Oryctolagus cuniculus: one gene and its partner. The protein of the gene in region 1 interacts with the protein of each later gene in a pairwise test. Links are inferred from orthologs where the notes say so. Each region holds a gene or a part of one and is shown on either strand. Other genes may lie near its edges. The genes, in order: PLEKHA5 and PDZD11.

Region 1 (3,817 bases):
AAACGTTAACACCCTGGGAAGGGCCACAAAGGACAAGGCTGACCAAGCCCCAGTGCTGTGGTAGCAACATTCCAGTACAACAACAGAATGTGTTACAAAGCAAACAAAGCACAGAAAGCACTGTAGGATAAAGAGGGATTATGGGCCCACCTTTGGAAACCTGGAAATAAAGCAAGTAAAACTGTCTTTCGACAGTTAAACCACAAACCCACACTTAAAGGAGTACTAGGTACTTGGTACGAATGATGTGGCTCCTAGCCAGGAGGGTTAGTGTGAGCCTGTTGTGGAAATGGTTGTAACAGGAAATAGAGTTGATGCTATCAAAGGTCTGTGCCCTGTGACTTTCTCTGTCTGCACTCAAGACGACCTGAGCGTGGTGTGAGAGCTCGGGAAGCCAGACTGCCTAGGTTGTGCTCAAAATGCCACCTTTTACTGGCTGCATCTTTGGGCAAAGTTCAAAAACTTATCAGGCCTCAATGTCCTGTTTGGTAAATGGGTGTAACATAGCACCAAGGTCTAAGGGTTGCTGTGAGAACCGACTGAGTAAATCAGTGGCTGGTACAAACCTTATTACCACTGTTATTCCATCCCATTAAGCATTTCTGGCCCAGTCATTTGTGGTCTCTGACAAGGTCAAGCTGAGCATCTGCAAGTGTATCAAACTGCCAAGATCAAGTCACTCTGGGAGGCCTCAGAGGAACTGGCCAGCCTTCCACGTCTCAATAGCTAACAACACTCCTCCTACCCGATCCTACCCATGGGACTGCTGCCCATTTTTGTGATGTGTGGGAAATACATAGACTCATACAAATATATCTATCTTCAACCATAATTGAAAGCATCTATATCTATCTATTTGTATCTACAGACATACAGTCATTGAGTAAAAAGTGAAAACAAATGTGAAAACTGTTCTTGGATTAAAATTCTGGACTGCTCATATATTCATTCTTAGGTTAGAAACAAATCATAGTTTCTGGGCTGGAAGGGATATTAGACATTGAGAAATTTCACTATGTAGGTTATGGAGTTTCTTTTCCTGGAAGAATAAAAGTCAGAAAATATCCACAAAAAGCACATTTCTCCTTGTTGAATTCTGGGGTGGAGGGTTACTAAATATTTGAAAAGATGTTTCAAACTCATTTGTCTTTAGTCTATCAAAAGCTATCACTTAAAGGTAGAAGTGCATTGACTTTTTTTCCCCAAAGATTTATTATTGAAGAAATATAATCAAAAAAGATATTCGTGATGACTTTCCCTAAGTGGAGGAAAGCTGACTCGAAGTATACTGATCAACATAAATAATGTAAAACTTGTGATCTAATTTTTAAAATAGTTGACACTTGAATCAGTGTAGAAAATTCACTGAGAAATGTAAAGTGAAAAAAACAGGCCTGGAAATGAACGTTATCTATGGAATGTATACCACACTCAGCATTCTTTTATGCTATCAGTGATGTACATACTAGGGGACTATGACATTGTACTTCACAGGGGGAAATATTACATAAATTTTGATGAAATGAAACCATTTAGTTAAAAACTTGATGCTTCATCTCTTAGGTGATATGTCCTGATACGAATTGTAAGTATTCTGGCCACAAGGCAAAGGTAGTCTAATATTTTAAAACTAAACAAGCAAAATTTCCCTATGCTTTAGATAGGAAATACTAGATACCTTCACACAGAATGACCACACCTAAAAGGATGGGATAAACTTGTCAGCAACTGGGAGTAGAAGAAAGGATGTGATTTGCAGAGGTAACAGTGACTGTCTCCAGACTGGACACACAGTGATGCATAATCATTCCTGGGTGACTGAGCCAATTTCACCAACACAACTGGCTGAAGATGGTGACGGGCACATAAATCAACTACTAGGTTGCAAGAAGTCAAACAAACAAAACAAGCAAACAAAAACGCCAACCATCATCTGTATCACCCCGAATTATGAGAATTAACTGTGAGTTTTTAGAGTGGCAAATTCAATAAAAATAAATGGAAATAAGTTAAAATTTTGGGAAAAGTATAACAGATTATTGAAATGACTTGGAAATTCAGATATTTTAGTTATTGACTTCCATATTCTAAAAAATTATCTTCAAATTTTACATTAAATGTAAGACTACTTAAGATTCTAAGTTAATTCTTTTTACTTACACATTTTCTTTACTTCTCAATGCTTACCACCTCATCTTTATGTCCCTTCAGGTAAGTTTTACACCTGGAATTCCAGAAGCAGATTTTCTTTCTATGGGCTCTTAGATTAGAATCCGCGTAGGTAGAGGTGGTTTTCCCTAAAAGTAAGTGCCTAGAGCTCCAACTTAAGTTCTCTTTTTCTTTCTATGCTTTTTCCAGTATCTAATTAGTAGTGAGTGGCTAACTTGATTTAGATTTAATATTTATAAAAACTGCAGAAATACAGCTTCAACTTAAAGTCTTTTAGCCAATAAGGAAGAAAAAAAAAAGACTCAAGATTGACACTGTTAACAATCCCCTAATTTTCTGAGGAGGGGGAAAAGGACCAAACCTGCATGTTGGCATCTTCCTTATGTAAAATACATGCATAATTGTCACTAACAGGAAATAAAAGTTAATTGTGTTATAAATTTACCTTTAAATTATAGGAATATAATCTCTTAAGAAGTACATTATTCAATTTTTATTTACAGTTTGAGAAACAGATTTCCTCTGATTTTTTCTTTAATATAATGGAAGAATATTAAAATGATAGTATCATCAAGCAGGGAAAAATACTACACTTAGGTAAATTTTCATAGTGCACATCTGTATCAAGGAATCTTAATACTAAGTTTTCAGAACAAAGAAGGCACAATTCACCAATAAGTGGACAGATTAAAAATCATCTAAATGCTTGATGAACTATTTCTGAATAAACAAATATTAATCCTTTAATAAGTATTAAAGTCTACCAGAAAATGCTGAAGAAATAAAATTCATCAAAACTTACTATAATTTACTAAACTTCAAAAACCTTCAACATACTATAAAAATATAATTAACTCTATGAAAATAAAAACAATTGAATTATGAAAGTAGATGCTAAGATTCAGGATCTTAAAAAACACTGTCTTAAAGGCTATAAGTCTGCATAGCTTTAAGATAACAATTTAAAATGTACTCACCGGAAATTAAAGGTAATTCTGTAAGAAGAAAGAATATTCAGTTTGAATGTTAGGATTCTAGAGTCACCTCAGTAAGCTGATAAGTGAAAATGAGTAAAGAAGAAGGGTGGAATAAAATGTACGCAATATTTCAAATTAATAAGGTGCATTAAATTAACACAGAACATGAATTAATCCTTGCTTTCTGCGGAACAAAATGATTCCATGTCATGACTATGAACGTGCTATGTACCACGACAATGGTGTGCCTGCTAGGCATGGAAAACAATGGAAGTGGCGATCAGTATTATTTTCCCTACAGGCCTTTACCTTTTCACAGGTTCTGTCTGCACCAGGGCAGCATCTAACATGGCCTTCATCCACAACTCCATTTCCTTTCCTGTATCAGTGCAGAAATAATAGGTCCGCATGTTTGGATGGGCTGCCTGATTGAAAATGACACGATCATTTTAAAGAAAAATACGGGACTCTGTAAAAGAAAAAGAAAAACAGATAAGTGGTCCCTTGCATAGATCATTACTGTCAAATTTTTAAGAAAGTAGACTTGTCTTTTATGTAAGAAATTGGAATGACGTAAGAAAACATATAATTATTTATCTTGAAAAAGATACACTTAATGCTTTTCCCTTAACTTTATCCCTTTTCTTTTAATTGTGTATACTCTAAAATGT
Region 2 (4,319 bases), on another chromosome or scaffold:
GGCCTTGGCCCCCTGTGGGCATTTGGAGGGTGAGCCAGCACAGGAGTTCTGTCTTTCTACCTCTCTCTCAAAAACACACACACACAAAAGAGGGTGGCACTTACTATACGGAAAGAAGCGGACACGCATGCTGATTTCACGGGCTGTCTTCAGTATCTCCACAGCCTGCAAGACACACAACAGCAGCTTACACAAATGAAGACAATGACCCAGGAGAGAACCATAGCAGGGCAAAGGGACGTCCCACTCCACCCTTCTGGGCCATGAATAGCTGCTTCCCTTGGGTCCATTTCCCCAAGAGAGAAGCTTGCTTATCAAGTTACAGATTAGGCTAGTCCTGCCCAACCTGTCCTAGCTGGGATGACTTCTTGCATCACCACAGCCTGCGTGCTGCGCTCACCTTGCTGTGCTCAATATCCTGGAAATCCACATCATTCACAGCTAGTACTTGGTCGCCTTCCTGAAGTCCTGCCCGGTGCGCATCAGAGTCAGGAATCACCTGTTGGTAAAGAGAAAACACGTGTGATGGGGAGGGAGGTAACTTCTGAAGACTGTAAGGGAAGCTCAGTGCTATCCAAGTGTAAGGTGCTACTACTTCTCTGACAAGTAGAGAGACAGATGGCTTGCCAAATAGAGAGTTTTAAGTGGAAAGAGAGTGTCCTCATTATGCCCCTTCCATGGAGTCCACCAAAGCATCCTTCTGTCAGCCCTTGGGGCCTCAGGGATCTGCAAGCCGCTAAATTGACAACCGAAAATAGCTATCTCCACTGCCCATCAGGCACACGCACCTTGGAGATGAAGATGCCTAGCTGTGAGGCCTTTCCTCCTCGGATGTTAAATCCCAACTGTAAGGCAAGAGCACAGAACAGACACTCAATACAGACCACAAACACAAGAACTCCTAAGTAGCATTATTGTGCCAAGGGCTCAGCTTGTGTGTCCCTCAGAGGGAAGTCAGAAGTTGTAGAAGCGGGAGCTCCACTTCCCTGGTCACAAGAAGGAGAATTTCGGGGCTGGCACCATGGTGCAGTAGATTAATCCTCCGCCTGTGGCGCCTGCATCCCACATGGGCACCAGTTCGAGACCTGGCTGCCCCTCTTCCAATCCAGCTCTCTGCTATGGCCTGGGAAAGCAGTAGAAGATGGCCCAAATGCTTGGGCCCCTGCACCTGCATGGGAGACCAGGAAGAAGCTCCTGGCTCCTGGCTTCGGACCCGCACAGCGCCGGCCATAGCGGCCATTTGGGGGGTGAACCAATGGAAGGAAGACCTTTCTGTCCCTCTTACAGTCTGTAACTCTACCTCTCAAAAATAAATAAATAAAATCTTTTTTTTTTTTTTTTAAAAAAAGAATTCCTTCAGCTTACCAATCCATCCTTCCCAACCATGGCCACCTTCTGGCATGGATACATCTTGCTTGGAGTAAGAAAGGGGCTCCTATCAGCTCACCTGAGCTCCAGGAGGCTTCTTCAGTGTGACGACTCGGGGCAGAAACTGGGTCAGCTCATTGTTGTAGTCTGGGTGGTATACTCTCTGCAACACAGTAACGGCAACCCCAGAAATTTACTACTGGTCTTAGACTTCACACCTACTTTCTTCTGGAATACTAACGCCTCACTCTGAAGTCGGGAAAAGGTACACACATAGCCAATTTGTTACTTGGACTGATAACCTGGCCAAATGAGTAGATGGACAGAACGGGAACATACTAACAGCCCAGTAGCTCCCCACTTTTTCATCTGTTGACAGAAAGGGAACTAGGACTCACCGGTGTGAATGGACCTTGGCAGCAGGTTTCCATAACAAGTTCCCAATGGGCCTATTGGTCAAAATCCAGCTTCTGGGTCCTCTGGCTCTAAGGGCTAACATTCATTCTCTACTGAGCTTCATTTCTAACCCTACCATTCTACCTTTCATGTATCACCTTGGGCTTGGGGCAGGGAGGGAAGGATTCCCCTACTCAGGAATACAAACTGTTCCCACCTCATGAGGTGGAATCCACGCTGGGGGATTCTCATAGGCAGGCAGAAAAACCACTGGGTAGTCATCGTAAGGAATCCGGCTGTCCATCTCGGGCGAGGCCCTAGAGTGGAAGGGTGGATCAAAGCAGACAAAAGTTAAGTTCCAAATGGACAGCAGCCCAGGAAGTTTCAGAAAGCTGCTCTGACTCACGGCAAGGCTGTCAGTGTATGGGCCCAGCCCACACCTAGGTGTTACGCTGGAGGACAGAAGGAAGAAAAGACAGAACAAAATGACTTACTTTGCTAAGCAGGCTATGGATGTCAAGCAACCTGCTAGGTATTCTAGAGAGATGACCTAATTTATCAAAACAATCCCATGAAATTGATGTTAACATCTTCATCTTACAGAAAAAATAATTGGGGTCACGCCTAAATTTTTTTCATTAAAATTTTTTATTACTAATAAAGAGAACGGATTTCATAGGTACAATTCTAAGAAAATAACCATATTTCCCTTCCTCCCTTAATTCCCCCTTTTTTTTTCTTAATTTTTGCAAAAACGTTAATTTCGAAGTCCAAGAGAGTGAGGACTCCATCTTGCTCCAGGGTCTTGGGGGCCAAGCACAGCCCTACATTTCCTGGGTGCGATTAGAAAGGGTGGGATTCCCCAGGTCAACCCTTCCTCCACCACCAGCCACTCTCTCTCTCTCTCTATATATATATATATATACATATATATATATATATTCCCGTCTCGCATCCTGTCTGACTCCCGCAGTCACGACAACGTAAACGCCGAACCACCTTACCGGTGGGCCGGACTCACACACCTCGGGGCCAGCGCACCACCACTGAAGTCTGGGAACCGGAAGCGGATGTTTGCCGGGGTCGAAAAGGGGCGGTACCGAGCTGCGACGAGCTTCCCTTCCCCTCCCACCTCGGCGTCTGGGTGCGCGCGCGGACGTGCTTGCTCCGCCCCTAGGCTGTGGGCGCTCCCATTGGCTGGCGCCTCAGGAATCGATTTGAAACTTGGCGGTTAAAGCTCCGTTTAGGAAAGGGCCACGGGAGACCGGGGAAGACCGGAAAAGGGACATTTAGTTTGGTGAGTTACGGGGGCACACCTTGGCTCGGAATCTGCCTGTTTCGGTAGCCTGGGGCATAGCTTTTTGTCGACGTCTCCGCTGGAGTTTTTTTTTTTTTCTTCATTTCAGACGCTGTCGGGCTGAGCAGCCGTCCATCGTAGCCAAGCCTAAGGAAGTGTGTACCTCCGGAGGTATCGATCTCGCTGGAAGGGAAGGCTGCCACCGCTTCGGCTGAGTTTCGTAACCCTCCCCCACCCTCCGCCGGAACCGAGAAGTCGACCTCCTACCCCAATCAGACCTACCAAAATTCATCAGCAAGCCCCCTCTTAATTCCTCCTGCAGAGACCGTGCCGAGGTAGGATCATGAAAGAAGAGGTGAAGGGGATTCCCGTACGAGTGGCCCTGCGATGTCGCCCTCTAGTCCCCAAGGAGATTAGCGAGGGCTGCCAGATGTGCCTTTCCTTCGTGCCCGGGGAGCCTCAGGTGCGTAACAGAGTCCACCGCCTATCTCTGAACAGCTGGGGCCGACTGGCAACGAGGGGCGTGGTCTAGCCTTTCTTTTTTTCCTTAGGCCTTGTCCCTTGCCTTTCCTAGGTGGTGGTTGGTACCGATAAATCCTTTACCTACGATTTTGTGTTTGATCCTTCTACCGAACAGGAAGAGGTCTTCAATACAGCAGTGGCACCACTCATAAAAGGCATCTTTAAAGGTGAGGCTATTCAATTCGTCGAAAGTGTCTTGGGCATTTGCTGTGTGCCTGGCATTGTGTGGTCGGGTGCTGCAAATACAGGAGTGGATGAAATGCCCACAGCCTCGTTTTATGCCGTATTTGCTTTCGGTGTTTGTGTTCATCTTTGACTTGTGTACATTTCTGTTTGCTCTGGAGTCTCAGTAGATGACAGCTCTTTGGCAGGTGCCAGTGGTGCACAGCGTGGCCACCTGCTGCAAGTTCAGGCCCCAGGATTACTTATTCAGAGATGTGTAATGCAGCTTCCAGGCCCCGAAGGCATTGAAAGTCCGGGGAGTGGGAGAGGAGGTACATCAATACAAAAATAACTTGGAATACATAAGCAATTTTAAATTGTTCGCTCCTGACTTTAAGAAAATATATTTTAAAAGTTCAAAATATGCAATGGAGCCCAGTTCTGCTGTAGAAGAAACCCTGATTTCATTCAGAGTAGCATGACAAACAAAAGGACAGCACCAACTCTGCTCAGGAGATTTGGGGTGAACCTCACAGCATAGGAACCTTGGAGATAGCTTTTGAGTGATGAGTAG

The links.
Region 2: the proteins of PLEKHA5 (region 1) and PDZD11 interact in binary tests that used the Homo sapiens proteins (3 or more experiments, as listed by UniProt). The two-hybrid records come from large-scale screens. The link is inferred for Oryctolagus cuniculus from reciprocal best matches to the Homo sapiens genes PLEKHA5 and PDZD11.

What each region holds. Positions count from the first base shown.
Region 1 is NC_091440.1:116,940,191-116,944,007, reverse strand, and holds part of PLEKHA5 (pleckstrin homology domain-containing family A member 5), read right to left. Parts: exon of another isoform or gene 3,572-3,817; coding exon 3,456-3,571; intron 3,165-3,455; coding exon of another isoform or gene 3,147-3,164; intron 1-3,146.
Region 2 is NC_091453.1:50,184,810-50,189,128, forward strand, and holds the start of PDZD11 (PDZ domain-containing protein 11), read right to left. Parts: upstream 2,923-4,319; 5' UTR 2,790-2,922; exon of another isoform or gene 2,769-2,789; intron 2,082-2,768; 5' UTR 2,069-2,081; coding exon 1,982-2,068; intron 1,532-1,981; coding exon 1,448-1,531; intron 846-1,447; coding exon 789-845; intron 500-788; coding exon 401-499; intron 166-400; coding exon 105-165; intron 1-104. Other genes in the region: chromosome-associated kinesin KIF4A, read left to right, coding at 3,405-3,524, 3,636-3,750. UniProt on the Homo sapiens protein: Mediates docking of ADAM10 to zonula adherens by interacting with PLEKHA7 which is required for PLEKHA7 to interact with the ADAM10-binding protein TSPAN33.